Rhinolophus ferrumequinum: one gene and its partners. The protein of the gene in region 1 interacts with the protein of each later gene in a biochemical or structural test. Links are inferred from orthologs where the notes say so. Each region holds a gene or a part of one and is shown in the gene's direction. Other genes may lie near its edges. The genes, in order: FGFR1, FGF4, FGF8 and NCAM1.

What was found.
Region 2: the proteins of FGFR1 (region 1) and FGF4 form a complex in vitro, tested with the Homo sapiens proteins (2 studies listed by BioGRID and IntAct, with this or other methods). The link is inferred for Rhinolophus ferrumequinum from reciprocal best matches to the Homo sapiens genes FGFR1 and FGF4.
Region 3: the proteins of FGFR1 (region 1) and FGF8 interact in a biophysical measurement, tested with the Homo sapiens proteins (2 studies listed by BioGRID and IntAct, with this or other methods). The link is inferred for Rhinolophus ferrumequinum from reciprocal best matches to the Homo sapiens genes FGFR1 and FGF8.
Region 4: the proteins of FGFR1 (region 1) and NCAM1 form a complex in vitro, tested with the Homo sapiens proteins (2 studies listed by BioGRID and IntAct). The link is inferred for Rhinolophus ferrumequinum from reciprocal best matches to the Homo sapiens genes FGFR1 and NCAM1.

The regions. Positions count from the first base shown.
Region 1 is NC_046287.1:61,188,452-61,195,639, forward strand, and holds the start of FGFR1 (fibroblast growth factor receptor 1), read left to right. Parts: upstream 1-4,186; 5' UTR 4,187-4,325; intron 4,326-4,493; exon of another isoform or gene 4,494-4,633; intron 4,634-7,188. UniProt on the Homo sapiens protein: Tyrosine-protein kinase that acts as a cell-surface receptor for fibroblast growth factors and plays an essential role in the regulation of embryonic development, cell proliferation, differentiation and migration.
Region 2 is NC_046294.1:3,405,488-3,412,267, forward strand, and holds FGF4 (fibroblast growth factor 4), read left to right. Parts: upstream 1-3,965; 5' UTR 3,966-4,274; coding exon 4,275-4,614; intron 4,615-5,239; coding exon 5,240-5,343; intron 5,344-5,878; coding exon 5,879-6,055; 3' UTR 6,056-6,272; downstream 6,273-6,780. UniProt on the Homo sapiens protein: Plays an important role in the regulation of embryonic development, cell proliferation, and cell differentiation. Required for normal limb and cardiac valve development during embryogenesis.
Region 3 is NC_046299.1:23,075,455-23,083,066, forward strand, and holds the start of FGF8 (fibroblast growth factor 8), read left to right. Parts: upstream 1-4,607; 5' UTR 4,608-4,825; coding exon 4,826-4,857; intron 4,858-4,950; coding exon 4,951-4,987; intron 4,988-5,514; coding exon 5,515-5,601; intron 5,602-5,826; coding exon 5,827-6,007; intron 6,008-7,612. UniProt on the Homo sapiens protein: Plays an important role in the regulation of embryonic development, cell proliferation, cell differentiation and cell migration. Required for normal brain, eye, ear and limb development during embryogenesis.
Region 4 is NC_046294.1:82,580,335-82,587,451, forward strand, and holds the start of NCAM1 (neural cell adhesion molecule 1), read left to right. Parts: upstream 1-4,106; 5' UTR 4,107-4,394; coding exon 4,395-4,446; intron 4,447-7,117.

The DNA.
Region 1 (7,188 bases):
AGATCCACTATGCCTAGCACAGTGCCTGACACATGAGTGGAATGTGTCACCCTCCTCCCCAATGCTCAGTGAATGAATGTTGCATTAGGGCCAGACAAGCTTAGCTGCCACTGCTGCCGAGCTCCCTTTCCCACTCCCAGTTGGTAGGACAGAGTGAAATGTTATTTACAAAAACACCAAGCCAAACAAGATCCTCCCTTCCCTGATACGCTGAAACTGTGCTGAGAACAGCCAGGGGTCACCAAATGGCAGCCAGATGGTAACTGACTGCTGCTACTTAACTCCAGGGGCCCTGGGGCAAAAGGCTTGGCTGCCCACCTGTTCCTAGGGACCTGTGAACATCCACTTTGTAAGGGAAAAACCCAGACGGTTCCCTCCTCCTGAATCCCTTCCTGCAACCAGGCCTCAAAAACTGAGCCCCTGCCGGTTCCCACCAGTCTCAGGGACTCCCGAAGCCCGAAGCCAGCCTGAGCAGCTCTATGGCCCAGCCTCGCCCCAGGGTAGATGTCGCTTGCCTCCTGCCACTTCTGTAACAGGCAGGTGTTAACTGTGTAGTACCAACCCAGTGTAGGGGGTGGGAACCGCAGGGCCCTGAAATAGCTAAACTCAGTTGGAGCAGGGGAACACTAGGAGAGGAGGAGCTCCCTTCTCTGTGGAAGAACTCTGAGGACACAAATAGCTGAAGGAAAAGGGAAAAGTTTTTGTGCAGTGTTCCCAAACAAAGAGAACTGATCGGGCTTTGGGGAGAGCTCTGTTTACTCTGTTTCATTCAGCACCGGTCCCCTCCTTCCACAGATCTGGGAGGCAACAGGTTCCCAACTAGTTATCAGGTCCTCCAGCGTGAGGGCCTTTGTCTCCCCCTCAGACGTCTAGCTGGCAGGGCAAGGGGCCTACAAATCCTCCCTGACCCTCCCAGCTCTTTGTTATCTCAGAGGGAAGATTACGTTTCTGTGTGGGGAGGCAAGGTGCCAGGAGGCCTCAGAGCAGGACAGAGGCAGGCAGAGAGCGATTGTCTGACCTCCTTTGCCTGGAGCTGGTCAGGGCCACCCTGGGGATACTCTCTCTCCACTGGCCTAGAGCCTATCCCGAAGTGAAGGGTCTGCATTTCAGAAAGAGGAGGGGGAGGAGCAGCATGGAAGGAGAGCAGACCGGAAGGATAAAAGCAGGGCAGCTCTCAATTATTCAGGAGCCGTGCCTGTGGTCTGTGTGAATGGCCCATACGTTCTCAGGGTTTCTCACCTTTTCCATTCCACTGTCTTTGGGTGTTTCCCTGAGAGCTGGGGGAGGGAGAGCTATCAAGCTGGACACTTGCTTTCATTTCGGTTTCTTGCTAATCTGTAGAGAAATTTGTTCAGCATCGGATCTAGGCTACTTAACATCAAACAGACAAGCATTTAGATCATTCTCTTTCTGTTTAAATCAAGGGCACATTCTTCAGCCTCCTCTTTTGTATTCAAGATACTCCTAAAATGCTTCCAAATCAAAAGAAAAAGGGCTAGATTAAAAACCCCTGGTTTATGGGGTGGCCAGTTAGCTCAGTTGGTTAGAGAGTGGTGCTGATAACATCAACATTGCCAGTTCGATCCCCGCATGGGCCACTGTGAGCTTCGCCCTCCTTAAAAAACAAAAACAAAAACAAAACCCTGGCTTAGAAGAATCTTAGAGAGGAATGGTGATATAATGTCTTTTAGTAATAAAGTAGGAAAATAGTGGTTGGGTATTAACATAAATGCTGGGTTTTCCATAGCTTGTGTGCCCAACTCATATTCCCTTAAATTGTATTTCCTCCTCTGGTCACCATGAAGTCTGCCAACAACAAAAATATATAAAACGCCTCCTGAGTAGTCCTGAGCTAGGTCACATACAGAGATGGAATCTTTGCCCTGATACAGTTTAGGAGCTAGTTAGAGAGAAAGAGTAAAAAAGACAACTAACAAAGTTATGTTAAGTATCATACCAGACGGTCAGTAGGGGTTCCAAGGATCAACATGGCTGGGATTGGCAGGGAAGGCCTCTCCAAGGGAGAGGGGCTTGAGTTTTGCCTTCTTAAAGGCCTGGAATGAGAATTATTTAAAATGAAGAAGGCTGCATGGGTGGGCAGCCTATATGGGAGGATTTAAAAAGAGCCTGATAAGGGGTGGCTGGATGGTTCAGTTGGTTAGAACATGAGCTCTCAACAACACGGGTTCCCGTTCAATTCCTCCATGGGACGATGGGCTATGCCCCTGCAACTAAAGATTGACAAAAACGGTGACTGGACTTGGAGCTGAGCTGTGCCCTCCACAACTAGATTGAAGGACAATGACTTGGAGCTGATGTGCCCTGGAGAAACAACACTGTTCCCCAATAAAATTTATTTTAAAAAAAGAGCCTGATGAGGAACTGAAGGGTGGAAGGGTGGGGAGATAGCTTATAGCCTATAAACAATGGCAGAAGTTCATGTAGTCCACAAATATGTGAGTTCCTGCTTTTTATTTAGTTTTAAATTTATTTACTTTTTCAATAAATATTTACTGAATATTTACTCTTTGGTCAGTCAAATAACATTTACTGAGCTCCTACTATGTGAATGACACTGTGTTGGTGACAGTAAGGGAGTCCCAATCAACTGGGGATAATATGTAAATAAGTCTTGATGTCTTTGCAGATGCATGCCTGGTCCAAAATTAAACAGCCCATAAGTAGGGGACAGAATGAAGGTATCTTTCATACCTAATGTGACATATTTCTCACCCTACCGGTGTTCTCCAATCTGGCACCATGGGATCTGTAGAAAAAATACAAACTCTTTGCTCCTTCCTGGGACGACCTAATTCCTCAAGTCTGAGCAGGTGCAACAATTTGTATTTTTCCAAAGTTCCCCAGAGGACTCATGCCCATTTGGATTAGGGAACCATTAAATTCTACCACTCTGTGGAAGGATCCAAAGGAAAGGGCATTTTAGCCACTTTCCCTCCGGTTCCATAGAGTACTGGAGTGTACTCTGGGTGGTCTCTGATTCATTTTCAAACCAACACCACCCCTCAACTCCCCCCACTCACTCTTTGCTTCAGAAACATTCATGGCAGCCTGGAGACTTCTGGAGGCCAAGAATGGCGCTGTAGAATTGACAGGACCTAGCTTCCCATGGACCACAAAACCTAAACTATGTGGCTGGGGAAAGTGGGATGGAAGGAAAGGATCTGAGGTGGGGACCCTTTTATTCTCATGAATAAAAATAGCTTGCATTATTGAGTATGCCAGGCCCTCGTCTAGTCCATTTAATCCTCAACTCTATAGGGAAAGTACTATTATCCCCCTTTGACAGATGAGAAAACTGAGATGTAGAGCAAGAAAATCACTTCCCTCAGGCATACAGTTAGTCAGACTTCAAAGCTCTCGCCTCCACGTAGAACCTCAGGGCGACAGCGTCTTCTCACCTCACCCCCAATACTGCTCATCTGCCCAGGGCCTGCATTTGGGCGCCCTCCAGGCGATGCTCAGATGGGGGCGGGGGACACGCCCTCAGATGCAGTCCAGGCTGCAAGCGAAGAGCAGCAGAGTGCCAGGTAGCTCAGCCCGCTCCCCGCTTCTCGGGGGCCAAGGCTCAGGAACTACAAGGCCAGCAGGCAGCTGCATGGGGAGGAGGAGGAGGTGGGACTAGCGCGGGGTGGGAGTGGGAGAGGGAGCCCTCGCGCCTCGCCGGCGCACAAGCGCTCGGAGCGCTCCTGCGGGCACTGGTGTGACGGCTAGCAGCGGGCGGCAGCGAGCGGGAGCCGAACTCCGGTCCAGCCGCAGCGCGCGGAGGAGCCCGGGCTGTGCCCGGAGCTGGGCGGCAACGTCCGGACAGGACCGAGACTCTGCTTAGCGCATTGCGGCGACCTCGCCTTCCCCCGCCGCGATCGCTCGCCACAGCTGGAGAAGCAGAGGAGACCGCGGACTTTTCTCCGGTCCGAGGGGCGCTCCGCAGGGCGCGCGGTACCAGGACTGCAGTCGGGCACGCCGCGGCGCCGGGGCCGCCGCAGGGCGATGGAGCCCGGGCTGCGAGAAGCGTGAGGCGCCCGCCGCCGGATCTGGAGAGGGGGGGCCACAGGGTCTGGAGACCCGGGCGGTGGACGGGAGCCCTCCCCCCCGCCCCGCCTCTGGGGCACCAGCTTCGGCTCCATTGTTCCCGCCCGGACTGAAGGCGCCGGGCGCCGAGCGCCCCCGGGAGTCGAGGGCCGGCCGCGGGGCTCTCGCGGCCCCGCCAGGAGCCCGGCGGCGGGGGCCGGAGTCGGGAACGCGGGCGCCTGCCCGCACTAGCCACCGCTGGACTCTCCACAGGCGGAACCGCAGCGCCCAGTGAGGTAAGAGCCGCGGCGCCCCCAGATCCGGGGCGGACTTGGCGTCCCGAGCGGCCCCCGGCGCTGGAGCCTCCTGGCTGCGCGCTTACCCCGCCGCAGCCGGGTCGGGACGGCGCCTCCCTCCGCCGGTTACCCGCCCCCCTCCATCTTCCAACTCCCTCCCCAGCGCTCTGCGCCCCCCTTTTGTCTCCCCTCCCTCCGCTCGCATCGCCTTCTGCGCCCCCTGCCCGCGCTCGTCCCGCCGCTCTCCTGCCGACCAACTTTTCCGCCAACTCGCGCTGGGGAGCTGGCGAGGCGGCGGCGACTCCGTGGTGAGTCCGGGGAGGGACATGGCCGGGGCGAAGGCGGCGGCGGCCCTCGGTGTCCTAATACTGGGGAGGAGGGCGGGAGTGGGCAGCGAGCTGGGGTGTGTGTGTGTGTTGCGTTACACTCCATCTCTTTTTAGTCCACTCGCAGGGATTCACCCCAATTCAGCAGGTAGCTTTGGGTGGAACGCTGAAAATCCGGGGTACTTCTAAGTCTTTTTCCACCTGAGGAAAGTCTGGGGTCGTGTTGAGGGTGGGTTGGGGCATGAAGAGGGAAGGGAGTGGAGGGGTAGGTTAGCTTCTCTCGGAATAGGTTTTAACTCGTATGTCGTCACCAAATGGCTGAATCCGCTTTAGATGAGAGCGAGAAAGGAATTCCCATTTCCAGAGGGGGCTTATCTTCTTAGTTCATCTCCGAAAGGGTTGGAAGTTTGGAGATGGTGAGGGCGCCCAGTGGGTGATGTTAAGGCCCGCGAAGGGGTCGGGGGAGGGGAACGTTCAGTTTCAGTCTTTTTCTAGGAGGTGGGGGAAGGGATGGAGGGTTTTGTCCGGTGCGGTGTACTCGGCAGCGATGCATGTTGCTTCTCTGGCCCAGACCCCTCTGCCTCTCGCCCCCTCCTTCCGTCATGTTTGAGGTTGGGAGAAGAGGGGCTAGAGCACTCATTTGCGGAGAAATTTATTGACGTTGTAGATGGAGTTCATTTAACACGTAGCCTGTGAAGGCAGCCCAGACACCTTTGGTGGTGGTGGTGGTGGTGGTATACGTGTATGTGTGTGGGGAGGGTGAATCCTCCTTCTTTCTGGGCCCAGAAGCTATTAGCCTATTTAAAAATTTCTGCGGTGTCTTTCTCCCCCAACACGTCCCCCACCCCCCATTTTCCACACGTAGCATCCGCATCTGGTTCCGTTTCACCCCACACGGGTACACCGCAGCCACGTTATTAACATCATTCTTCCTCCCTTCCCCCTTCCCCAAATTAAAACTGGACTTCTTCAACTTGTCCTTTCCATCTCCTTAAAATTTCTGACGATTTGGAGATGTGGAGTTGGGATTTGTGGAGAAAAAAGTTACCCTGGATCGCAAGTTATTTAGAATCTCGTGGTGGTGGTGCTTTCTCGATTGTGTGGAAGGTTTTAGGGGGTGGCACTTGTGAACGGTTCATCTGCAGGAGGTGGATTTTTTGGTCAAGGGTCTGACCCAGAACTGGCCCTGACGGAAGTTTCTGGAATCCAAGTATTGCTTCTTCTCCCTTCAGTTGTAGTTGGAGCCCTGGAAAAGTCTGACCCTGTCCAGAGCCAGCCGTCGGGTCTCGGGCAGTCCGGCGGTGGCGTTGCGCGTCCCTGTTCCACCCTCCCAGGAGCCAGCCCCCGGCGCAGCGGCCGGGGACGGGGCGGGGGCGGGGGGCGAGGGCTGTGGCTGCCAGAGGCGCTCCTTGTGCGTTTTTAAGGAGTTAAATGGGCTGCAGCCCCCGGAAACTAAAGTGAGACATTTTACCATTTAAATAACGGCGACAGTTTTGAAAGCGGGGGTTGGATTGTTGAGGGTTTTTTGTATGTGTGTGTGTTGTTTTTTTTTTTTTTGGAATGTCCTTTGAGGTAGGAGAGCACCTTGTGGTCCAAAGTCGCGGGAGGGTGGGGAGAGTTGGTCTCTCTCACCCTCTCCTTTCCAGTCTCTTTCAAATTGAAAACACTTCTCTGGTTTCCTCTTTTGGGCGGTAGTTTTGGAGGCTGTAATGAAATCGCACTTTCTCTAGACATGGTAATTAAGGTGACTGTTTCCTCCGCAGATGTGCCCTGCCCTTTGCACCTCCGGACCAGAGCTTTTTTTGGAATACCATCTAAATTGTAGAACCTTAGCCTTGAGACTGTTTAGCAGAAAGTGGCCATTTTCCCCCGTTGGCCCAGGCTCCCTGAGGCTTGTTGAAAAGCTAAGTAGCAGAGCCTCGTGGGACGTGCCTCGGTCTGGCTAATTACCTCGAAGCCTGGGTCATCTCCTTTCCCTTCAGTGACCGAGGGCAAGAGGGAGAGCCATTGCCGACCGTCTGCCCTGTTGGCCTGCTTCCCTAATGACTTGTTTACATATTTGCCCCACTTGATTGGGAGAAGCTCCAGGGCTGCCGCTGACCTGGGTGGAGCGCCGTGTGTTTGGGGACAGGGAGGCTGCTCCGGCCTGGCTCCAGTTGGGATGGTTGTGTACTGCATCAGTGACGAGCTTCTTGAAATATCTGTTGCCTTACTCTTAGTCATAGCTGAGTGTCAGCTTTTTAATAAGGGCCATCCATCCGGATGGATAGCCACTTGGACATGGGTGCTTTCACGTCCTGCTTTTATCATGCTTGTGGAAATGCCCATCTTGGAGGCATTTTCACAAATGGGATTTGGGCCAGAGTGGGCGCTACTTCCTTTAGTTCTCAAGCAGACAGTCTTGGGTGCTTCTTTATCTTGGCCTTTGGCCATGGAGGATGTTAGAAAGTTCCGTTATGCACCCTTAGAAGAATAGCACGTGAAGCAAAAGCACTGGTAGAAAGAAGGAACCTCTCAGATGCTATTGTCCCATCCCT
Region 2 (6,780 bases), on another chromosome or scaffold:
TTCTGGGTATAGACCCAAAAGAACTGAAAGTGGGGCTTTGGAGATACATGTGCACGTCTGTGTCCATAACAGCATAATTCACAACAGCCAAAATGTGGAAGCAACATGAGTGCCCATTGACAGGTGAACAGATAAGCAAAATGTGCACTATGCATACTATGGAATATCACTCAGCCTTAAAAAGGACAGAAATGGTGGCACGTGCTACACCATGGATGGACCTGGAGGACATTATGCTGAGTGAAAGACTCTAGTCCCAAAAGGACAAATAGTGCGTGATTACACTTATATAAGTTTCCTAGAGTAGACAAATTCCTAGAGGCAGAAAGTAGAATGGCGAGTGCCAGGGACTGGGGGAGGAGGTGGGGCGTTATTTAATGGGGACAGTTTCAGTCTGGGAAGATGAGAAAGTTCTGCAGATGGACGGTGGGGATGGTTGCACAGAAATATGAAGGTACTTAATGCCACTGAACCATACACTTAAAGATAGATGGTTAAATGGCAAAAGTTATGTTATGTGTATTTTACCACACACACATAAAAAGCTACAAAACATTGCCCGAATCCTTTCTTTGGGCGTTCTGAAGAAAAAGGTGTAAAAAAAAAAAAACCCCACACAAACTGTTTCTTAGGGTGCTTTGGCTCCGTAAATGCATCTATACCCATGGCGTTACCCTTCTTGACGTTGCAGAAAGACTCTATTGTGAGGGTCTTCTCTCAGAAGACAAGAAAAGGAAGTTAAGGAGAGAAGGCAGTTCAGGCATTTGCAAATTTCCTCATGGGAACCCTGCCCCAGGCTCCCTTCTGTCATTCCGCCCTGAGGACTACAAGTGAAGTTTTATGGAGTACTTTTTTATTATTATTATTACTATTAAGCCAAATAAGTCCTTCACAGCTGGGTTGGTGGTTCTGGGAAGCCCTGTCACTCCTTTATGGGAGAAGAAACTGTACGTGTGAAGATAGGACGTTGTGGCTTTTCTTTGTAGGTTCAGAAAGGTCACAACCAGGAGGGTATGTAGATCCCAGACCGGTCAGCTTCAGTTTGAGCCCTTGTTCTGCCTACGTATAAAAACATGGGTTTGTGTATTTCACAAATGCCATTAGCAAGGCCCTGTCTGCACCACCCCCAAAGGGCTTGCCATCTAAAGGGCTGACCCTGGTCGAGTTAAGGTTGCCATCAACCCCTAAGAGTAATTGCTGTGGTGCCCATTTTATAGATGGAGAAACTGAGCCTGATCAGAGGTGAGATAGCTTCATGGCATGTGGCTGACGGGACAGGGCCTGGATGGGAACCCACTGCAGGAGACCACAGCCCAGGGCTGTCCCGCGGCCTGCAGGCTTCCCCTGTTGCCCAGGTTCTTGGTAAACCGAGCTCTCTGGGGCGCAACAGGGCCTATTTCAAGTATTCAAGAGAGCAGATCTGGAAAAATTAGTCACCTTGGTCCAACTGTTCCTTTCAAATAAAAGGGAAAAAAAAAACACAAAAAAAAACAGTGTGGAGCTTCTGGTGGGGAACTGGCAGCTGGATCCGAGGTGCCTGCAGGCACCTACTGTCGTCCCGGGCAGCGTGAGGGGCTGGCACTGGCACTGCACCTGGCATCGGAGGGGCTGCCCTTAGCCAGGCAGCCAAGTACTCACAGACACCTACTGAGCCTCAGCCTCCCGTGTGTCAGGCACTGCTGAAGGCACGGGGGGATACGGCTGGGAACGAGACAGGCCTGCACTTGCTCCATGGACGGACAGTCTGAAGGGGTGGAGGGTCAGCAAGTATAGGCCGGTGAAGAAGGAGGTTGTCCAGAGGGACGGCTGGGAGGAGGCTGCCTTGGCGGGCGTGGGGCACACGGGCGGTCTCCCCAAGTAGCTGCTAATTGAGGGGAGATCTGCCTGGGGAGAACACTGAGGAAGCGCCTTCCAGCCAGAAGGTCGGAAGGAAGGACAGAAGGGGAGTGTGGCTGGTGTGCAGCCGCCAAGGGGACATAGGTAGAGGAGGGGCCTCGGCGAGGGGTTCAGAAACACTGTGTGCTACCTGTTGCATCCTTCACCTGTAGTCGCTGGATTAACCCTCACTGGGCTTTGCTGGCTGCACTGGACGGTTGAGGAGGCCGAGGTCTGCAGAAGTCAGGACGGGCTCAGGAACCCGTGGTGAGTCGTGGTGAAGTGCGAAATGGATCTCAGGTTAGTGAGACCCAGAATTCCCAGCTCCTAACACCCTTGCCAGCTGTAAGCCCTTCCAAGGAGAGTCACCAAGAGCACCTACTGTGTGCGGGTGGGTGAAGGTTCTGGGAGATAAACCAGCTGCTGAGGTCCTTCACTGAACTTACCAGCAAATAGGAGACACAGGGAGGGGGGTCCCTGTGGGGGTCCTGGGAAGACAGGAGCCACCCTCTGCCAGGAGCTGCGGAAAGCATCAGAGGCTCTAGGTCCCAACTCCCCACGAGAGGTGCCCCCCTAGACCTGGACTGAAGTGGGGCAGCCCACCTTGCATGCTGTTCTGTGAATGGGGAGTCAGGGGCCCAGAGATGGAAAGGATTTGCCAGGGCCACACGGAAACCAATGGGCAAGTTCTAGGTCTCCTGAGTTTGAACCCTGGCCAGAATTGTCTTCTTGGTACCAGATCCGCACATCCATTGGGGGTGGCCCAGCGTCCCAGTGTCCCGGCAGCAGCCGTGAGCCCACAGCCTACAGCCCAGGAAGGCCCTGGCTTGGGTGGGTGCTATTCATGAGGGCTGCAGGCCCAGAGGGGAGCACAAAGCTCATGGAGGAGTCTGGAGACTGGGTTCTGGTCGTGTCAAATCCACTCACTGACCCCTGAGGACCTCCCCCACTCTGGGCCTTAGGACAGAGATCTCAAACCTCCCAAGTCCGCTCCTGGGTTCAGAGGTTGCGTCCAAGAGCACCTCAGGCAGGAACTGGGTGGGAGGTGGGGGACGCTGAAATGGTCACGGGTGTCGGTGGCAGCAGGGGTTGAGGTGGGCTCCAAGGCCCCTGCTGTTGTGGTTGGGCGGGGCCTGCTGGGAGGGCCTGCAAGGCTCCTCAGGGACAGCAGAGAACAGGGATTTTCACACCTAGGTGAGCCAGCACCTAGCTGGGCCTCTGGCCAGTCCCGCCCCCATCAGGCCATAATGGGCACAGTGCCGATGGGGACAGTGTGGGGGAGAGGGGAGTATTCCTAGGGGCCTGGCCTGGGTCCCTGCCACATTGGGAGCTCTGGTTAAAGGACTTGACTGTGCCTGCTGAAGAATCAAAGGGGAGAGGGGCAGTGAACGTCCACTATGGCCCTGTGCCCTATCGCCTGTCCTTGCATGGAGGTGTGTGGTGGGGGGGCGGGGTACAAGCATTTGGGGTGCACCCCCAACTACCTTCCCTTAGCAGCACCCACCCGAGGTCCCCAGCCGAGGTGATGCCTCCACCTGGCTTACAGAACTCCATCTCTGAATCACCTGGAGTGCAGGACGCAGAGCCCAGGGCCTTGCCTCCCTCCAGCCCACCGCCCTGGGTTCTTCCTTCCCGGGCTTGCCCTCGTGTTACTTACTGTCCTGTCCTACCTGTCATTCCCAGGCTGCCCGCATGGCCTAAGAAAAAGAACCAGGTTCCTGAGAGTCCCTGAGAGGCAGGGCGCAAAGACCGGCTGCTCGGAGCTGAGGGTGCCCGGTTAGGGCGGCACCCAGGCTGCTCAAGCAGAGGCGGCGGCGAAGGGGAGAGACAGAGAAGGGACAGGCAGGGACAAAGTGAAAGAGGCAAAACTTTGGCTGAAGGCAGGCGTGGAGGAGACGCAAGGGGCGGGACAAACAGGTCCGTAGGCCGGGCCAAGCCAGGGGTGGGGGCCAGGACCCTCCAGGTGGCACTCGCGGCACTCGTCCCCGGACGCCTCCCCTCCCCCAGTCCTGATTGGCAGGCGGCCTGCGACCAGCCGCGAGCGCCACAGCGCCCCGGGCGCCCAGGCGAACGCGAACGGCCCCCCGCAGGAGTAGGAGGGGGCGCCCGGCTATATATAGCGGCCCGGCCTGGGGCTGGCCCAGCGCGCAAGGAGGCGCGCACCGCTTCGCAGGGTCTCATCCTCGCCGTGCGTCCCTCACGGCTGCCCGCCGCTCCATGCAGCCCCGGTAGCTCCGGGCACCTGGGGGCCCCGTCGCTCGCCTCCCGCTCCACCCTCGGCCACGCACTCCCTGCTCCGGCCCAGGCCGTGTGCTCCCGCGGACCGCCACAGGAGCAGCTCGGCCCCCGGCTGCCCGGGCGCACAGACCGCCTGACGGACGCACGGCCCGAGGGCGGGGATGGCGGGGCCCGGGGCGGCCGCGGCGGCGCTGCTCCCGGCGGTCCTGCTGGCGGTTCTGGCGCCTTGGGTCGGCCGTGGGGGCGCCGCCGCGCCCACCGCACCCAACGGCACGCTGGAGGCCGAGCTGGAGCGCCGCTGGGAGAGCCTGGTGGCGCGATCGCTGGCGCGTCTGCCGGTGGCCGCTCAGCCCAAAGAGGCGGCCGTCCAGAGCGGCGCGGGCGACTACCTGCTGGGCATCAAACGGCTGCGGCGTCTCTACTGCAACGTGGGTATCGGCTTCCACCTTCAGGTGCTCCGCGACGGCCGCATCGGCGGCGTGCACGCGGACACGAGCGACAGTGAGTGGGGCGGGCCAGGCGGGAAGGGCTGGGGGCCCCGGCAGCGGCCGCCCCTGCCAATTCGCCCAAACGCACACGGAGGCCTCGGGCTGACACCTGCTCGCGGGCTCTGGGAACCCGGGCGAACTGGGGTTCCGGTCCCTCTGGCGCGGGGATGCGGGGACGCAAACACTCCTCGCTCTGGGCGGCACCGCAGGGACAGGCTTTGCGCACCCCGGCGGCCGAGCCCCGCCTCCCCGCCTTCGGAAGTTAGGGCTCCGGATGCCGAATTCCAGCGCCTTCGCCCGTAGGCACAGGGCGCGCGGCGCAGCCACTGGCACCCGCGGGGGCCCGGGACTCAAGCCCAGGTTCCGGCCGGACTCGGGGGCCGCCGGGCCAGCTTTGATCCTGCGGTCCGGGACTGGGCGCGGCCGCCGCGGGGTCTGGACCAGAGGAGAGGGAGTCGGCGCCCGCGCACGCTGTGCTCTGGGGTTTCCTTGGGGGTGGCCTGCGCTAGGGAGCTCGGGCCATTTATACCCACTCCAGAAATGGGGGTCCCGAAGGCGCGCAGGCCGAGGAGGGGGCTGGAACGGGAGGCACGGACCCAGGGTCCCCTGCCCCGGAATGACCCGTGCCCCTCCCCCAGGCCTGCTGGAACTCTCGCCGGTGGAGCGGGGCGTGGTGAGCATCTTCGGCGTGGCCAGTCGGTTTTTCGTGGCCATGAGCAACAAGGGCAAGCTGTACGGCTCGGTGAGTGTCACAGGGCCCGGCAGAGCACCCACTGAGGAACGCGGGCAGGATCCTGACCCCTCCAGGCCCACGGCACTGAGGCTGGGGCCCGGGTCACAGGATTGGGGGAGCCCCCTCACCCCCACCCCGTCTCGCCAAATGCCTGTGACAAGGGCCAGCAGCCTACACAAGGGGTGCAGCCCCAAGACAGGAACTACGAGGTTTGTGCCCTCCCTCCTGGGTGCCTCCTAGCCCCTCACAAGGTGCCATCGGGAGCCTTTCTCTGAGCCCCCGGGGCGTGTCCCAGCGGGCAGGACTGCAGCCTGGAAGGTGGACACAGTGGAGCGGAAATTCTCTGGCTGCCAGGTGTTGGGCGGGTGGTTGGAGCACCACCTGCTGTGGGCTGGCCATGTCCCTCTCCTCACCCTAGGAGGGTCTTGGCTCCTGAGCTGTCCGCCCAAGCCGGGCTGGGACACAAAGGGGCCCCTGGCCATGGCTCCCAGCGTCCCTGGGCCAGGAGGAGGTCCGGCCTAACACTGTTCCTCCTTCCTCCCAGCCTTTCTTCACCGACGAGTGCAAGTTCAAGGAAATACTCCTCCCCAACAACTACAACGCCTATGAGTGCTACAGGTACCCCGGCATGTTTATTGCCCTGAGCAAGAACGGGAAGACCAAGAAGGGGAACCGAGTGTCCCCCACCATGAAGGTCACCCACTTCCTCCCCAGGCTGTGACCTCTGGAGCCTTCCCTCAGCCTCCGGCAGCTCTCAGAGGGGAGCGCCCAGGGCCACCTTGGTGCACCTCTATCTATGGACAGTTTGATGCAAGAGTCGGTGTAAGATATTTAAATTAATTATTTAAATATGTATATATTGCCACCAAATTATTTATGGTTCTGTGGGTGTGTTTTGTATTTTTTCTGAAAAAAAGACAAAAAAGTAGAAACAAACTATATATATGTATATATGTGTATATATATATACCCCCTGACTTCTGGTAAAACAGTGGATTTATTCCATTGGAATAAATCCATTGGATTTATTTAACTTGTCAGAAAGTTGTCACAAGTGTGCTGCTACTCTGTGTTTTAAAAGCCAGTGACTTCTGCCTGCTTTGCACCACCGACCCATACGTTTGTCAGGGAGCTCCCCTGTGCCGGGAAAGGCCCTCTTGGGGCTTTGGCAGCCGCTAAGGCAGCTCCCAGGCGAGTCCTCTCCTCGCACCCTCCAGCGCCCCACTCCCTTTGTGCCCTGTTGCTATTAATTGGGGCATATCGGTTTACTTCGGGTACAGAAAGTGCGCTGTCGAGTCCGCTGCCACTCCGTTTTTAGATCTGCCAAGACTGACCTTTGAACTTTGCTGTAGTCAATCTTCCTCCATCTACCAGATGGGAGAGACCTTTAGACAACTTTAAAAACTCCCGTTTTCCTTTTTTGGATCAGCCACAGCCACATTTCTG
Region 3 (7,612 bases), on another chromosome or scaffold:
GGGATTCAGCCTCCTGGGTTAAGGGGTTCCTGCTCCCCGCACACTGCCTGGTCTGGGGGTCTCTGGTGCCTGGAATCATCTGGTTCTGGGACTTGGCTGCTACTATGCCAGGAAGAAAAAGGGATATACCTGGCGTGAGCATGAGTGTGTATGTGACCAACTTCGGGGTCAGCAGTTCAGCAGCTGTGTTGATGGGGGGGCTCAATGCCCCACAAACAAACAAACAAATAATAGGTTACCTCCTGAGACAGCCTGGGGCCAGACATGCTGAGGATGGACAGAGAACAGTGCCTGGTGGGGCCAGGCCCACTCCCTCCCACACTGGCTGCTGGGCAAATGAGTGAGCAAGTGGGAGGGGTCCCTAGATAACCCAAAGGGGCTGGTATTGGGGTAGGTGAGGTAAACTTTAGATAGAATGTCCCCACAACAAGGAAAAGCACTCCCTCTTCAACACACATCCCTAGAGGAGGTTCCCCCTTCCCTGTCGTGAAGAGCAAAGGTCCAGTTTTTAATCCCCTTTTTCCATAAGTTGAGGATAAAGGAAATGATCCCTTTGTGTGTTGCGGTGATCAGGGTCTCAGGTCCCTTTCTACTCTCCAGGAGGACTTTACTGAAGTGCTGCCACCGGGAACCAGGGTGGAGGGGGCAGTCAGGCTTGAGACCATTCATCTCCCGGCAGCACTGGGTCTGCTGGGAAGAGAAGGGGGGCTGGCGCCCTCTGGTGGACGAGGTTGAAACCGCCCGTGGCCGTGCCGCTACCCCACGGCTCGTCTCTAGTGGCTCTAGGCATGCAGGAGCCCACGTGCCCAGCAAGTGGTCGGGGCCGCCGAAGTTCAGGCTGAAGGAGAGGGAATAAGTTACTAAGGCTGACTTCATTAATTCATTCATTCATCATTCACTGGAAGGGCTCCTCTGATAGAGCGCTTCCCTTCCTCCTCTCACCTATGGCCTCCAAAGTCCTCGGTACGTGAGAGGTTGGAGGCGCGCGAGACCCGCTGGGTGCAGCAAAAGTCTTCTCTTGGGGAAAGCTGATCCAGCTACCCCCTGCGCATGGCCCGCCCCAATATTTACCCCCCGCGACGCCACTGATGGCTCATTGTGTGCCTTGATTGTAGTCTTTGTGGGTCTCCCGCGGCCCGGGCTGGCGCCGAGCGCGCTCCTGCCCGCAGTGGGGGCCCAATCCACATCTGCCCCTTCGTCCAGGAGTTTTCCAGCCCCACCGGGCGCCCCACGGACAGAGCTGGGAATTGTTTTTTCTCCCTCCTAGCTCCAGTTTCTCCTCGATCCCCATTTCTGCCCCATCGCGCACAGTAGGAGCGCTGATGTGCGCTGAGGGGTGAAGGTGTACGCCTTTGTGTGCAGACCGTTGGAGGAAAGACGGGCCTGTATTTGAGGGACGAAGAGGGACGACTCCCAGACGAGGGCTCGAAGTGCTTAAGGCTGTCTCGACGATTTGCATTTGAACGGTCGCGAAGAGTGCGCGGCGCTTTGAACGCCGAGAACAGGAGGCGCGAGGTGGATCGAACGGCAGTCCCAGCGGCCTGCGCCGGCTGGTGTGGATTTGAGGGGCCCGGGGTGGGCCAGGGGGTGAGGGATACGTTTGGAAAGAGGCTGAAGTTGTGTGTTTGGGTACCGGCGAGGGCGTGTTTGCGGAGAGGCTGTTTGTGTTGGCGAGGAGCGTGTGTTTGTGTTTGCGGGAGGCGAGTTTGTGTGTGTGTGTGTATGTGTGTGTATTTGTGTTTGCAGAGTGTGGGGGCGGCCGGGAAAGGTGGCCTGGCTGTCACTCAGCGATCAGGTTGACAGGCGCTCCCTCATCAGGGCCAGGGAGCTCTGATTGCAGATTCGAGGAAACAAAATAGCAATTGTAATTACGGGGCTTTGATAAGATAAAGGAAGGAGAGAGCTGGCCAGGAGGCGAGCAAGCGAGCGAGGGAAGGAGAGAGAGGCCTGCTGGGGCCCCAAAGGAATATTTGCATCTGTCACTCACAGGGGTGCCCGGCAGTACCCCCTGGCCTGATGCGGGTGTGTCCCCATCTGCCCCTCTCTATAGACATGGACTTTTGGGGAGATGAGAATAATTCCCCCAAATTATCCAGGATCCAGTTTAGGGGAAATTCTCCAAATGTACTGGAACTTTGGTCCTGTAAAGACAAGGTTTAGGTGTAAGACTGAAACCCTGGCTTCCATGATTTTAGGCCCCAGGAGGCCCATCTCTGGGGAAGAGAGAGGACAGTGGGTTAACATCATTGAAGTTCAGCCCAGGGCCTTCAGAACCTTCTGGGGACTCCAGAACCCAGGTTGAACCCTGGTCTGAGCCAGGTGCTCTGGCTTCTACCACCACTCCAGGGAAGGGCAGGTGCCCAGAGAGACTTTGGACTGTGCACACTAAGGAGGGACCGAATGCCCTGACCCCTGCCTGGGTCCTGCTCCACGCTTTCTGAGACTTTTCAGAGGGCTAGGTCCCTGGTGGGGAGAAGGCCCGTCCCATCCTCTGTTCTCCATCTCTCCACTCATCAAGTGTTAATGCATGCAAATAAACTTTTTCAAGGACCTACTATGTGCAGGCATGAGGTGAAGTTGGTGAGCATCCTGCCTGCTTGTAGCAGTGCAGCTGGGGAGGTAGACACTCAACAGGTAGCCAGCCTGTAGGCCTCTAAGACAGAGAAGTAAAATAAAGGAAAAGGGCTGGTTGGGGCTTTAGGCACTGGAGCCCACCTCACCTGTCTCCCCCTCTAATGGACCCACCTCCCAGTGGCGTTGAAAGGAGATGGTGCAAGCCCAGCCTTTAGCAAATACAGTGCTCAATAAATGGTGGTGCTTATGATTATTATCTGTTGAGGCAAGGGGGTAAAGGCAAGTCTCCCTGGGGGGAGTGGCACATGTGCTGAGGTCTAAATGCTCAGCCACTTTCCCCATCACTCATTCATTGAATACTAACTGCAGAACAACCCTGCCCAGCTCTGTGCCATGAGCTGCATATTCTGAGCTCGTAAGACATGGTCCTTGCCTGGAGGTCTGTGTGGGTAAGAGCCAGCTGAGTGAAAAGACTCTTGAGGGGATAATAGGTAGGCTCAGGAAGTCTACTCTGAGAAAAGATGAGATCTTGGAACAAGTCTTCTAATTCTGTTTTCCCATTTGTACATTGCTCAGTATTAGCCTTACGACTGGAAGTGGGGAGAGGTGGGGCACAGAGAAAGGCGAGGTAGGTAGAACTTGGCTGTGCTGCTGGATGAGGGCCTGTCTGCTGCCTCTGGTCTAATGGCTTCCTGGGACCTTCCATTCCCTTCAGCCCAACGGCCAGAGACATGATTGGGGCGGAGGGGGCAGTGAGGCAGGGGAAGTCCGGTGAAGGCAGAAGCTGGGCCGGGGCATCAGTGGCTCCACCTGCTCCTCAGAAGTACCAGGGCACCTCTGCCCACCCAGGCTGCTCCCAAAGAAGCACTATGGCTCAGGGTTTCCAGCAGCGCCTGGAGGAAAGGAATGAGGGGCTGGGAAAGGCTTAGACAAGTCCCTACCTCCTCCTTTGGCTCTTCCTCCACCCCAGCTGACACAAAGCATCAGTCCTGGTCCAGTACACAGTAGGTGTGTGTGTAAATACCTGTTAAGAGCACAAATAATGGGACTCTAGAGGGAACGACTAGTGGCCTGGGTCCGAGTTTCTTCCCCAGGAAAAGCAGCTGAGAGCAGTTATTTTGCCCCATCTGCCTGTTGCTTTGGGGGGGGCAATAGGGACTGCGCGTCCTTGCCAGCGACCTCGGGGCTCTCTCACAGAGGTGGGTCGTTGTTCCGTTGTTCCTCCCAAGTTTCAGATCAGCGCACGCACGTGTGTGAATGAGTATGGGGGAGTCAGAGGCGGGAGTGATGGTGATAATGGGGGGGGGAATTCAGGGACGGGGTGATGGTGATAATGGGGCGGGAGGAGGAGAAGGCCTTTTTGGAGACTGAGCAAGATAGGAGAAACCCGCAAGGCGGAGTACTCAGCAGAAAGACGGGGAGTCGGGTCCCCGTCGCACATGCACTCACTGCTGGAGAGCCGAGTGTACAGCCGTTCAGTCCAGTGTCAGCGGCCACTTCCCGGGGGCAGGCCCAGCGGGAGCGCACAGTAGGTGGCTCAGAGACCCGCCGTGTAGCCTGAGGCGTGAGTGGACCCGGCCCCACGGTGGAGCCCTGGCACTTTCGGACTCGGGCGCACCACCGGTGGTCCAGCAAGCCCCTGACAAGGGTCTCGGGACTCCATGGAGCAAGCGGCCCGAGGCGCCCCCCATCCCCGCGTGTCCAGACCCTAAGAGCGCGCGAGGGGACCGGGCAGGGATGGGGGAGGCGCCCACCCGGCCGCCCCCGCCCCTCCGGCGGGTCCCCAGACCCCTCCCCTAGCCCAGACCCCCAATCCCAGACCCGCCGGCCGCCCCGCCCCGGCCGCCCCGCCCCCGCCCCGGGCTGCGTCCGGGCCCCAGCTCCCAGCCGGGGGCTGCGGGCTCCGGCCGCCCGCCCCGCGCTCCCCCCTCGCGCCCGGTGCGGCGCCCCCCGCCCCCACCCCTCCCCCTCCCTTCCCACCTACCCACCCACCCTGCCGGCCCGTTACCCTCCGCCTGCTCCGGATCCTGAGCAGCCAGCGGCCACCGGCTCCGGCAGCTGCGTTGAGCGACTCGGCGCGGCGCGGCCAGCTCGACCTTCCACGGGACCCGCGGAGCCGCGTCGGCATCGCCGCTAGGCTCCCGCCCTCGAGCCGTCCTCGCTCGCCGCCGCCCTCGGCTCGTGCGTCCGCGGCCGCTCGCGGGCCGGCGTGATCCCGCCGGGGCTCCCTGCGCTCCCCCGGCCGCGCGCCATGGGCAGCCCCCGCTCGGCCCTGAGCTGCCTGTGAGTACCACCGCCCCGTCCCCGCTGGCTGCGCGCCGCGCCCCTCGCTCACCCCGCGCCCCTCTCTCTCCCGCCCGCTTTTGTCTCCCACAGGCTGTTGCACTTGCTGGTTCTCTGCCTCCAAGCCCAGGTAAGGCGCACTACACGGAGGCGGGGGCCGGGGCCAGCGGGGGACGCGGGTTGGCCAGGTCAGGCAGGGGCGCGAGGACCGACCCTGTGGCCAGCGCGGCAGGGCTGGAAGGAACCTTAGAAATCCAATTCCGAGCTACCCTGAGTTGGAAGCTAAGGAACAGAGAGGTAGTTCCCTGCCCAAGGTCACACAGCCAGTGAGTGGCGAGGCTAGAACCCAAAGTCTGGGAATCCAGTGCTGTCTCCCACGCATCCTAGCCAGGTTGGGATGGATGGAGAATACCATCATGGGCAGCCACACCTGGCCGCCGAGGAAGGGGGCAGTCCTGGCATTCGTTGTCAGAAGTCGGGGTGACTGCCACAGGGACCCTCTCCGCGGCTCTAGGGGGAGGCTTGTGGCGGGTCTGGCCGAAAGATCAGGTGCCTAGGCCTTCAGCGCACTCAACATTTGCTCCGTAAATTTGTCTTTATAAATGTCAGGGGTCAGGCAGCGCTGCCTCCCTACTTAAAAGCGCCCTGCTCTTCTAGGAAGGCCCGGGCGGGGGGCCTACGCTGGGCAGGGAGCTGGCTTCCCTGTTCCGAGCTGGCCGCGAGTCCCAGGGTGTTTCCCAACAGGTGGGTCCAGATCCTTCCCCATCCCGGGGCTCATCCATACTAGGCTGGGTCTGCCCGACTTTCCTGGGTGGGGGTGGTGGCCTGAGCTGGCATGTTGGGGGGACCCCCAGCCCCTGCCAGCTGCCTGGGGCAGTGGAGGGAGGTGCAGGGTGAAGGGGGCCACTCTGGGCCCCTGGGCAGAGTAACATTATAATGGCGTGTTGTGTATTTTTCAATTTCCTAAAGGTAACTGTTCAGTCCTCACCTAATTTTACACAGCATGTGAGGGAGCAGAGCCTGGTGACGGATCAGCTCAGCCGCCGCCTCATCCGGACCTACCAGCTCTACAGCCGCACCAGCGGGAAGCACGTGCAGGTCCTGGCCAACAAGCGCATCAACGCCATGGCAGAAGACGGGGACCCTTTCGGTAAGGCAAGCCGCACTGTGGGTAGGGTAAAGGTAGCTTGTGGGACATGCCCTCTTCCCCTCCCTGGCTTGATGTGACTGGACTCACCAGCCCCATCTGTGTGGGCCAGGGGCCTGCAGCCTCCCCAGCTCAGAAGGCAAGGAGTTAAGTAAGGCAAAAAAGAATTTTGGGGGTCAGCTGGAGAAGAGAGGCCTGGGGAAGGGACCTCAGGGAGTACTTGCCCCACAGGTGCCCCTTCCCTGCCCAGCAGATGAATGAATCCAGGAATTTCCCCTTACACCTCCCCCTTTCATACACCTCTCCCCAGCTGCAGGTGGAAGCAGAGGGTTCAGGGGGAGGAGGCCCAGGTTTAAGGGAAGCTCTTGAAAGAGGATATGTCGCCAGGGCCCACAAAAGCAGAGTGGGAAAGAGAAGGGAGAGAAGTCCCCCCAACTCTCGTAGCTTGGGGGGGGTTGCTGTGAACCTTTAAATACTTTGATCAGAAGGGTCAATTACACATGGGGACTAGGCTTGGAAAGGGGCCCTCCCTGCTCCACTTACCCAGGAACCTACGAGGTCTGTCAGAGCAGGGCTCCCAGCTCCCCTTGGGGTGGTGAGTATAGGGAGCTACTGCGGGGTGGAGAGGCTGGGGACTGATTGATTTCTAAAACATTCAATATTCCTGCCTTGAAACAAGGCCAATTTCTAGAGTCCTGGATGTACCAAGAGAAAAGCAAGCCCTCTGGGCGGCTGGTGTTGTTTTTAGAGAGTGATTATTGTGAGTTTAAAAACCTTTAAATAATGACCAAGTTAAACAAGCATGAAAGGAGAGGGGAAGACTCTATTAAAATGTAATAAAAAGGTGAGGCATTTTAAGAGCTAAGAAGAAAAATGAAGAATGATATAAAACAGAAAAAGAACGAGCCTTTTTTCAGATGTGAGTTTGAAAAGAGTTGCAAGTCTGTAAATGTTAAAAAAGAGGTTCAAGATTGTTCTCTATGAATCTCTGGAGAGACCCCCGCGTCTGGCAGAGCGATTAAAACTCTTCTTACTTTCACCTTTTTTAACATTTCCTGAATACTTTCTCCTCTTCTCGAGCCAGTTTGGGGGATCGAGTATGTCTCGCTGCATTTTTTCTGCGTCGACGTAGCTGACTTCCCTTCAAAGCTGGAGAAGGAGACATAATTTTCCTGGGATAAATCTGTCACTGGGTGGAAGAATAGGTTTGAAAATGTTAAGCTTTCCAAAAGCCCAGTCGAGAAAGCCGCTGTAAACTGTGGCCCGAGCTCCCCAGATCCTTCCAGGAAGGAGAGTGGGGGCTCTTGGCAGTGGGGGTGGGGAGGGCCAGCCCGGTGGCCCAGCTTCCCCGCTGGGCTGGCAGGGCCAGCCTACCGTCCCTTTGTCCCTCCAAACTGGCTGCTAGCTGCCCTTCTCAGCTTCCAAGGAAAGGGAATGAATGCCTGGCTTCTTCTGGGTTTGCTCCATTAGAGCAAATGGTCCAGATCCTTGGGTTTTGGGGAGGGAAGAAGAGGCTAAACGGGCCATGGGGGATCTCGTCTTCAGACACCAGAGGTTTGGTGTCACTTCTCTCCTTACCACGTATAGGAGGCTTCTCAGACATCTTGG
Region 4 (7,117 bases), on another chromosome or scaffold:
AGTCTCCCCATCCCCACCACACAGTAGAACTTACCATTTATTTCTTGTGTCAACCAGATCTGGGATATGAGAGACTGGGAGGGAGCTCTGAGGGCTCCCTAGAGAAGTCCACTCTTTAGGTCTGTGGCCTTGATATTACCTTCTGGCTCTAACACGTTCCTGGATCACGCTCAGTTCTTTGGGCATGCCTCTGTATCCCCAGTCTCTCTTAGTTCCAGGTCACTGTCTCTTGCTTTGATCTTAATCTGCTATGTTTCCCAGAATGCATTTTGCCCCGGTCAAAAGTGAAATAAATTTCCCGGGAGATCTGTGAGCTCTGGGATTAGGCCTGGGGTCTCCTTTTCAACACCAACAAGAAAGAAAGCCTAAATGGGAAAAAGTGGGGCTGACAGTGGGGGTACTTTAGACTAAGTTCATTTTCCAAGTAGTCTAAGTTAGACCCTAAGTGGGTGGTGAGTGGGGTTTAGCCCTGATTTAATTTACTTTATAGAGTAAGAGTACAATCCTCACTTAATCCTCATATTAAAAGAGGAGAAAAAGCCCGTCAAGCCTCCTTCCCCCTCAAGCTTGTCTTCCTTGTTATAATTATCCTTGTGCTTGTTATTATCACATTACTCTGTCATTATCATGCTGCTCCTCAAAAGAGTGGTCTAAACCCTCTGCTTCTCTTTCTTGGCCAAGCCACCTTTTTGTTCCTGGGGTGGTGAGGTCTTCCCCCCTCAACAGTGGACGAAAGCTGCCCTCTTATAGACCACTAATGACTTTCCAATAGTCAAATCCAGGAAACTTGTAAATTGTCCTCTTATTTGACCACTTCAAAACTTTCTTCTCATTTAGATTTGGTCATTATAATGTTTCAATTCTTTTTCTATTTCTCTGACTGCATTTTCACTATTTCTTGGGCAATTCTTTCTGCCTGCAGCTTAAACATTGATGTTCTCTGGGGTCCCCTCTATCTGACTGTCTGTCTTCTGCACATCTCCACTTGGATGTCCCTCTAACATCTCAGAATTAATATATCCAGAGTTGATGTCGTTGCTCCTTCGCTTATCATCGTGTCCAGGTCTGTCCTTCCTCTTCAACTTCCTGTCAATGTCACCAGCAGCTTTCCAATTGTCCACATTAGAAGCTCTGTACTCATTATTTTCTCTAGATCTTTGTCAGATATCCCCAATATCAGAGAGGTCTTCTCTGGCTAATCCCTAAGCGAAGTGCTAATCCTACCTCACCCCAGACTCCCTATCCTAGGGCTCTCCTTAGCACATATCACCATCTGCATACTAGATATTTTTCTATCTTCCTCATAAGAATGGAAACCCATGAAGACAAAGATTCGATTTTGTTTACTGCTATATTCCCAGTGTCTAGAGCAGTGCCAGGCACTTAGTTGATACTTAATTTAATAAGTATTTGTTGAATGAGTTGAAAGGAGCTTTGATTTCTTCCTCCGCTTTAGATCCCAACCTTCAGAAAGTTCCGAAGTTATGCTGTTTTTGCTTTGGAAATATTTCTAAAATCTGTGCTCTCGTTGGCTTCCTTTCTCATTGCCACTGCTGTAGTGACGACCTGCCACCCCAGAATACTGTCATGACCTCCTTGCTAGTCTCCTTGCTGTGGTTGTCTTCAGAGCCAATTTCTGCTCTACAAAGGAAGCTCTCTGAAACACAGTTGTGAGCGGCTCCTTCCTCTCCGTCAGTGTTCGCACTGCAGATGCTCATTAGTGCATCTATAGCCTGTAGTGCACTGATAGCCTGGGACTTCCTCTGCGGAGAGAGGCCTGGAGAAGGCCACCGTGTTGTGTCCCATTTCAAAGTTGAGGTTTGAGATGGGACTGACAAGCAGAGCTCACAGATGTGGGCCTTGACAAGTGGAGAGCTGATGAATTAGAGACAAATGATGGAGCCTGTTAAAAGAACATGGGAGAGATGCACAGAGTGCGGACTGGAATGACTGTGGGTAGAATTCTAGAATGAGTCATTACAACAGAGATCAACAGCCACACAGGGCACAGAGGGGCTGGGGGTGGGGGGCAGGAGAGAGAGATACAGAGAGAGAGAGAGAGAGAGAGAGAGAGAGAGAGAGAGAGGGAATAAATTCATTCATGCTGAAGTGAGATAGGATTTCCATACCTGCCTACACTGAAAAGCTAAAAATAGGGACATTGGGGAGAAAAATAGGGAGGAATTTTTTAATTCTACTGACATGAGCAATAAAGATGGAGGTTTGCAGAGGAAGATAGGTCTGTCACTCTTGAAAAGTTAGAAACATTTTATTTTGGGTATCCAAACATTCACTTTTTCCCTTGCCCTTCAAGCCTGTTCTCTCCATTTTTCTCTGCTGCCAAAACCTCTTCTTTAGGAAAGAGCCTAATACGTTTATCTACATAAGTTTGTAAAGCTTAATATGATAATTTTACATGTTAGCAAAAGCTCATGACTGAAGCCAAAAATGCTTAAATACAGCAGCCATTAAAAAAAAGGTCTGTATAACCCACTGTACCCAGCACAGGGCTAAACACAGTGGTGTTCAAAAAATATTTATTGAAAGATGTTCCAAAATCATTAATTATATTATCAAACTCTGGAAACAATCTAAATATCCAACAATGGAGGACCATTACCATTGATATGAAGAAATATTACATAACTATAAAAGGATTTCTAAAACCTTTTTAACAGCCTGGGGAAATGCTTATTATAATGAAATGTCAGTGAAAATAAACAGGATTCAAATTGTTACTACACTATGTCAATTATAAAAATCACATGCACAAACAGAAGACTGAGAAAATATGTGGGTATCTCTAGAATCTATAGGATTTGGTAATTTTGTTCCAACTTTCTATTTTTCTGTATTTATGAATTATTTATCATTGGTATGAGATAAATATTACAAAAGTAAACCTTGTGAAAGATTGATTGTCAGGAGGAAGTACTTTTCAGGGGTCCCGGAAGGAAGTCCTCAGTCACAGCATGTTGGTGTGGCCTGCTTGGTCTAGTACATGGGGAGAAGATCCCAGCCTCTCCAGTAAAGGAGGCTTCCTGGCCTGCCAGCAGAGGGTGGGATTTTAAGGTGGTTCAGCAGGGGAGAGCCTGACCTTTAGAGAGAAAGTGAGTATAAGGTAATGTAGGTGCGTTGGTGCTTGGAACATGGGCAGCCTTCCTCTGGGTTTCACTGTGCTAGGCTAATAGGCTGTTCCAGCTTCTGGAACACTTGGAGCTCCTGATTCTCCTTCACCTTTTGTTTCTTAAACAAGCTTTGCTCAGGTGTTGAAACATGTTTATTTTCACCCTGCTCCCGCGCCCTCTTCTATTTAAAATACAGCTGTGAGATTAATTGAAACCCTTTGTGTTGGTACCTCAATGATATTCTACATTAATATTTTTAAGAATTGAGGTTATGTGCCCTTGTAAGAAAATGTTATTTAGCATCGCGCCTATACCATAAAACCTACATAAAAGGCTTGGTGATCTTCATAAAGAGACCACAGATTTCAGTATTTATAAACAAGAAAACATTTTCCTTCCCTTATTTCTGGAAATTCCTTCTAAATATCTGCCTTTTCTTCTAACTTAAGTTGCCTCCCACCTCTTTCCCTTGAGATCTGTTACCTCTCCGTGGGAGAGCAAACTTCATAGGCAGTATAAACAAACAAACAAACAAACAAACCCAAAATAGAACCCCACAACAGCAATCCCTATCCCTCTCCAAATTCCTAATTTCCTGCACTTAAAATTAATTCTTAGCCTTTTCCTTGATTCAAGGATCTTAGCATCTAAAAGGAGAGATTCAACAACTTTGAAAACCTAACCAAACCTATGATTGTTTTTATTATTTGCTAGTTATTAAAATATCCAGATTCCAAATTAGGGGAAAGCTGGATGGCAGGAGGAACCGCGGAGGCGTGGGGGAGAAGTGTGAAAAAAAAGAAATCCCAGCTCTGCCTGGAAAACTGCGTGTGAAAGAGCCCGCTTCCTCCGGCAGGCAGCTCCAGGCCGCATTTTGCAGGCGGCCGCATCTGCCTCCCCTGTCTCCCTTACCTCCTTGATGTTCGGCACTATTTGTGGCCGGCGTGGTGGAAGGACACAGTGAGGTTCTCACCCCCACCCCCGCCCCCCGCTCCCATCCCCAGTTCCATCAAAGCGAACCCGGGCCAGCGCAAGGATCTCTGAGTTGTGAGTGTGCTGAGGCTGGGACTGTCACTCATTCTCCGTTCAGCGCGTGAACGCAGCTCGGCAGCCGCTGGCAGGAAACAATTCTGCAAAAATAATCATACTCAGCCTGGCAATTGTCTGCCCCTAGGTCTGTTGCTCTGCCGCCGTCCACACTCGCTTGCAAGGGAGGGGCACAGAATTTACCGCGGCAAGAACATCCCTCCCAGCCAGCAGATTACAATGCTGCAAACTAAGGATCTCATCTGGACTTTGTTTTTCCTGGGAACTGCAGGTACATTTAAAAAATTATTCTTTTCAGTCTGATTTGCTAATTGCCTTCTCCCTCCTACTCCTTCCCCGAGGAACACTGTTATTTGGGGTGGTTTTCTGTAGAATACTAAGGGTGGTCATTTTCGTGGAGCTGAGTAAGGAGAGCGTTGCCTTTGCTGCCCGGCCGAATCCCGCGCCCTCCCGGGCTGCGCTGGACCGAAGCTGCCTCCCAGCGCTCAGAGCGCCCGACGCCCCTCTAGTGCGTCCGCCCTTCCCACTTTGTGTGCCCATGGCGCTGAGAGCAGAGCAGCCTACTCCCTGGGACGCTGCGGCCGTGCGGCTGATGGGTAGCGCTCCTTCCCCGAAGGCGGGCGGCGGGCGGCGGGGTGGGGGGCTGCCGCGGCTCAGTGGTGCCGCTGCACAGGCTCGGATTCCGCTGGGTAGGGGCTTGTCAGCTCGGGCTCCGGGAAGAGTGAACAATAAGGCCTGGGCAGCCGCCCCGGATCGTTATTTCCCTGGGTCTAATAAAGTGGGGCTCGCCACCTTCGCGCCCCCCCTCCCGCCGAATAACGGTTTGCAAAATGGGGCGACATGGGCAGAATCTCAGGGCTCTGTGGCCGTTGTTGCACACCCGTCGATATGACGTTAGTTTTTCATTTGCCAAATTGCTGGTTAGTTACAAAGCCTGCTCTCGGAGCTCGGAGGGATGGGAGGGTCGGGCGCCGCGTTTTGACAGGAGGAAGTGCCGAGGGGCGGAGGGCGAGGAGGGCGTGATCCAGGCTGCCTAGTGTGTGTGCGCGCGTGTGTGCGCGCGTGTGCCTTCACACGCACCGAGAGCCCGCTGTTGCACGGTGTGAGAGAATGGCAGGTAGCCACCCGAAATGCTTCGCCCCAGTCTCCTTTCTTTGGGCGAGGTTCCTGATCCTTGCAAAGTGCGAACAATAGGGAGCTGGGAGGAAGACAGTAGTGATGCTGCCACGGGTGGCGGGGGATGCGCCGCCGCCCAGAGAACCTTCGCGGACGGGAGGGAGGTTCATTTCATTCTGGGTGTTTCCATCCCGGCCTCCCTGGAAGATTCTTGTGCGTGCCCACCCACCCCTCCAGCTACTTCCCCCACCCCACTGCAGGATTTGCGCTTTGGCGCTGTTGGACAAGAAGGAGGAGGAAAAGGAGCCCCGGCTGCAGAAAGCTGGGTGGGGTGGGCGGACATTCTGGGCGGGGGGCTTGTGCTGGGAAGCGCCGAAGGAAAGCCGGGGGGAGGGGGCTGTGTCGCTATCGCCGCTGCCAGGTGCCGCTGGAACTGCCCTAGACAGCCGAGCCTGGCTGGGGGAGCGCGCGGGGCGGGCATGGGAGCACCCAGCACACCCCCTCCCCGGGAGGCACAAGAGCTGCGCTCCGCCGCCGCCTCCAGCCGACTCCAGTCCCTCCCATGGCGACCAATCAGAGTGAGGCTGGCTGGGCGGGAAGCCGCGAGAGGCTTTTATTGCGGGGCGGGTGGCGGCCCAGAGCTTCCAGGACCCTCTCCTGGTGTTCCAGCCTAACGGTCTCGCTCGCTCCCCGCCGGGAGGAACCCTGCCCTGCGGCTGGTATCCCGCCTGTCCCTCGGTTTCCGAGGAAATAAAATGGAGTCTAGTTGGTCAACGGGAGGTGTTCTTCCACACGCGCCTCTTTCACGCAGACTTGAAGCATTCCTCCCGCCCCCTCCAGCGCCCACATTCGAGCCGCGTCGTCCTGGCCGGAGCGCGTCGCCTTGGAGGGCGCAGTGGCAGGGCACACCGACGCGCGTGCGCTGACCAGCGGGCCGCGGGTAGGGGGCGAAGCTGGGGGCGGGGCGGGATGGAGGCGGGGCCTTGGCTGGGGCTGCGGGGCCCCCAGCAGGAGGCCAACCCCAGTCCATTGGTTGCTGGGTCCCCCACGCCACCTGGCCGGTGGCTACCCGCGACGTACCCTTTTCCGTCGTGCCCATGAGTCTCCGCTGTGCGACCTCCCGTCGGGGGTTGGGGGGAGTGTGTTTCTCTGGCCTCCTCCCCTTTAGGTTGGGGCGTGACAATGGAGCCTTTGGTAAGCCTTTAGGGACTGTCCTTTTCATTACAGGATGGGTGTAACCCTCAGTGTTTGGATCCCCAGGGAGTTGCGTAGGTACACGCCCAGTCCAGGGAATCCCAGGTTGAGATGTTCGCAGCTGCCAAGACCAGGGTGGCATTCTGATCCATGTTCCTGGGAGGAAAGTGTCCTCATTCCGGACTAGTACTATGAGGATGGAAAGAAGGCAGAACGTGAAACACATACAAGGTTGCTTAACAAAAGAAAGAAGTTGAGCAGGTTTTCCAAAGAGAAATACTTCTTGTTTCTACCATAGTTAAAAAAAAAAAAATTAAGAATTCCAGTCAAAGGGTCAGGACGAAATAAGAACAATAACACACACACACACACACACACACACAGACACACACACACACTTTTGGCTTCATGTTATATGTCTTTAGGGACAGTGGAAGTTTTGTCTCTCTCCACTCGGTGCTTTTGAAAATTTAGATATAAGGAGTGCCAACCTTAGTAAACCCAACGAATTAGATTTGCTGCCCCTCTCTTATTTTGGTGTCTTCTGCTCTTTAGGAATAAAACGAAAAGTGGAATTATATAGCAAATATGAGTCTTTTCTAACAGCAGTTTTGGATGTTTTATAGAAAATT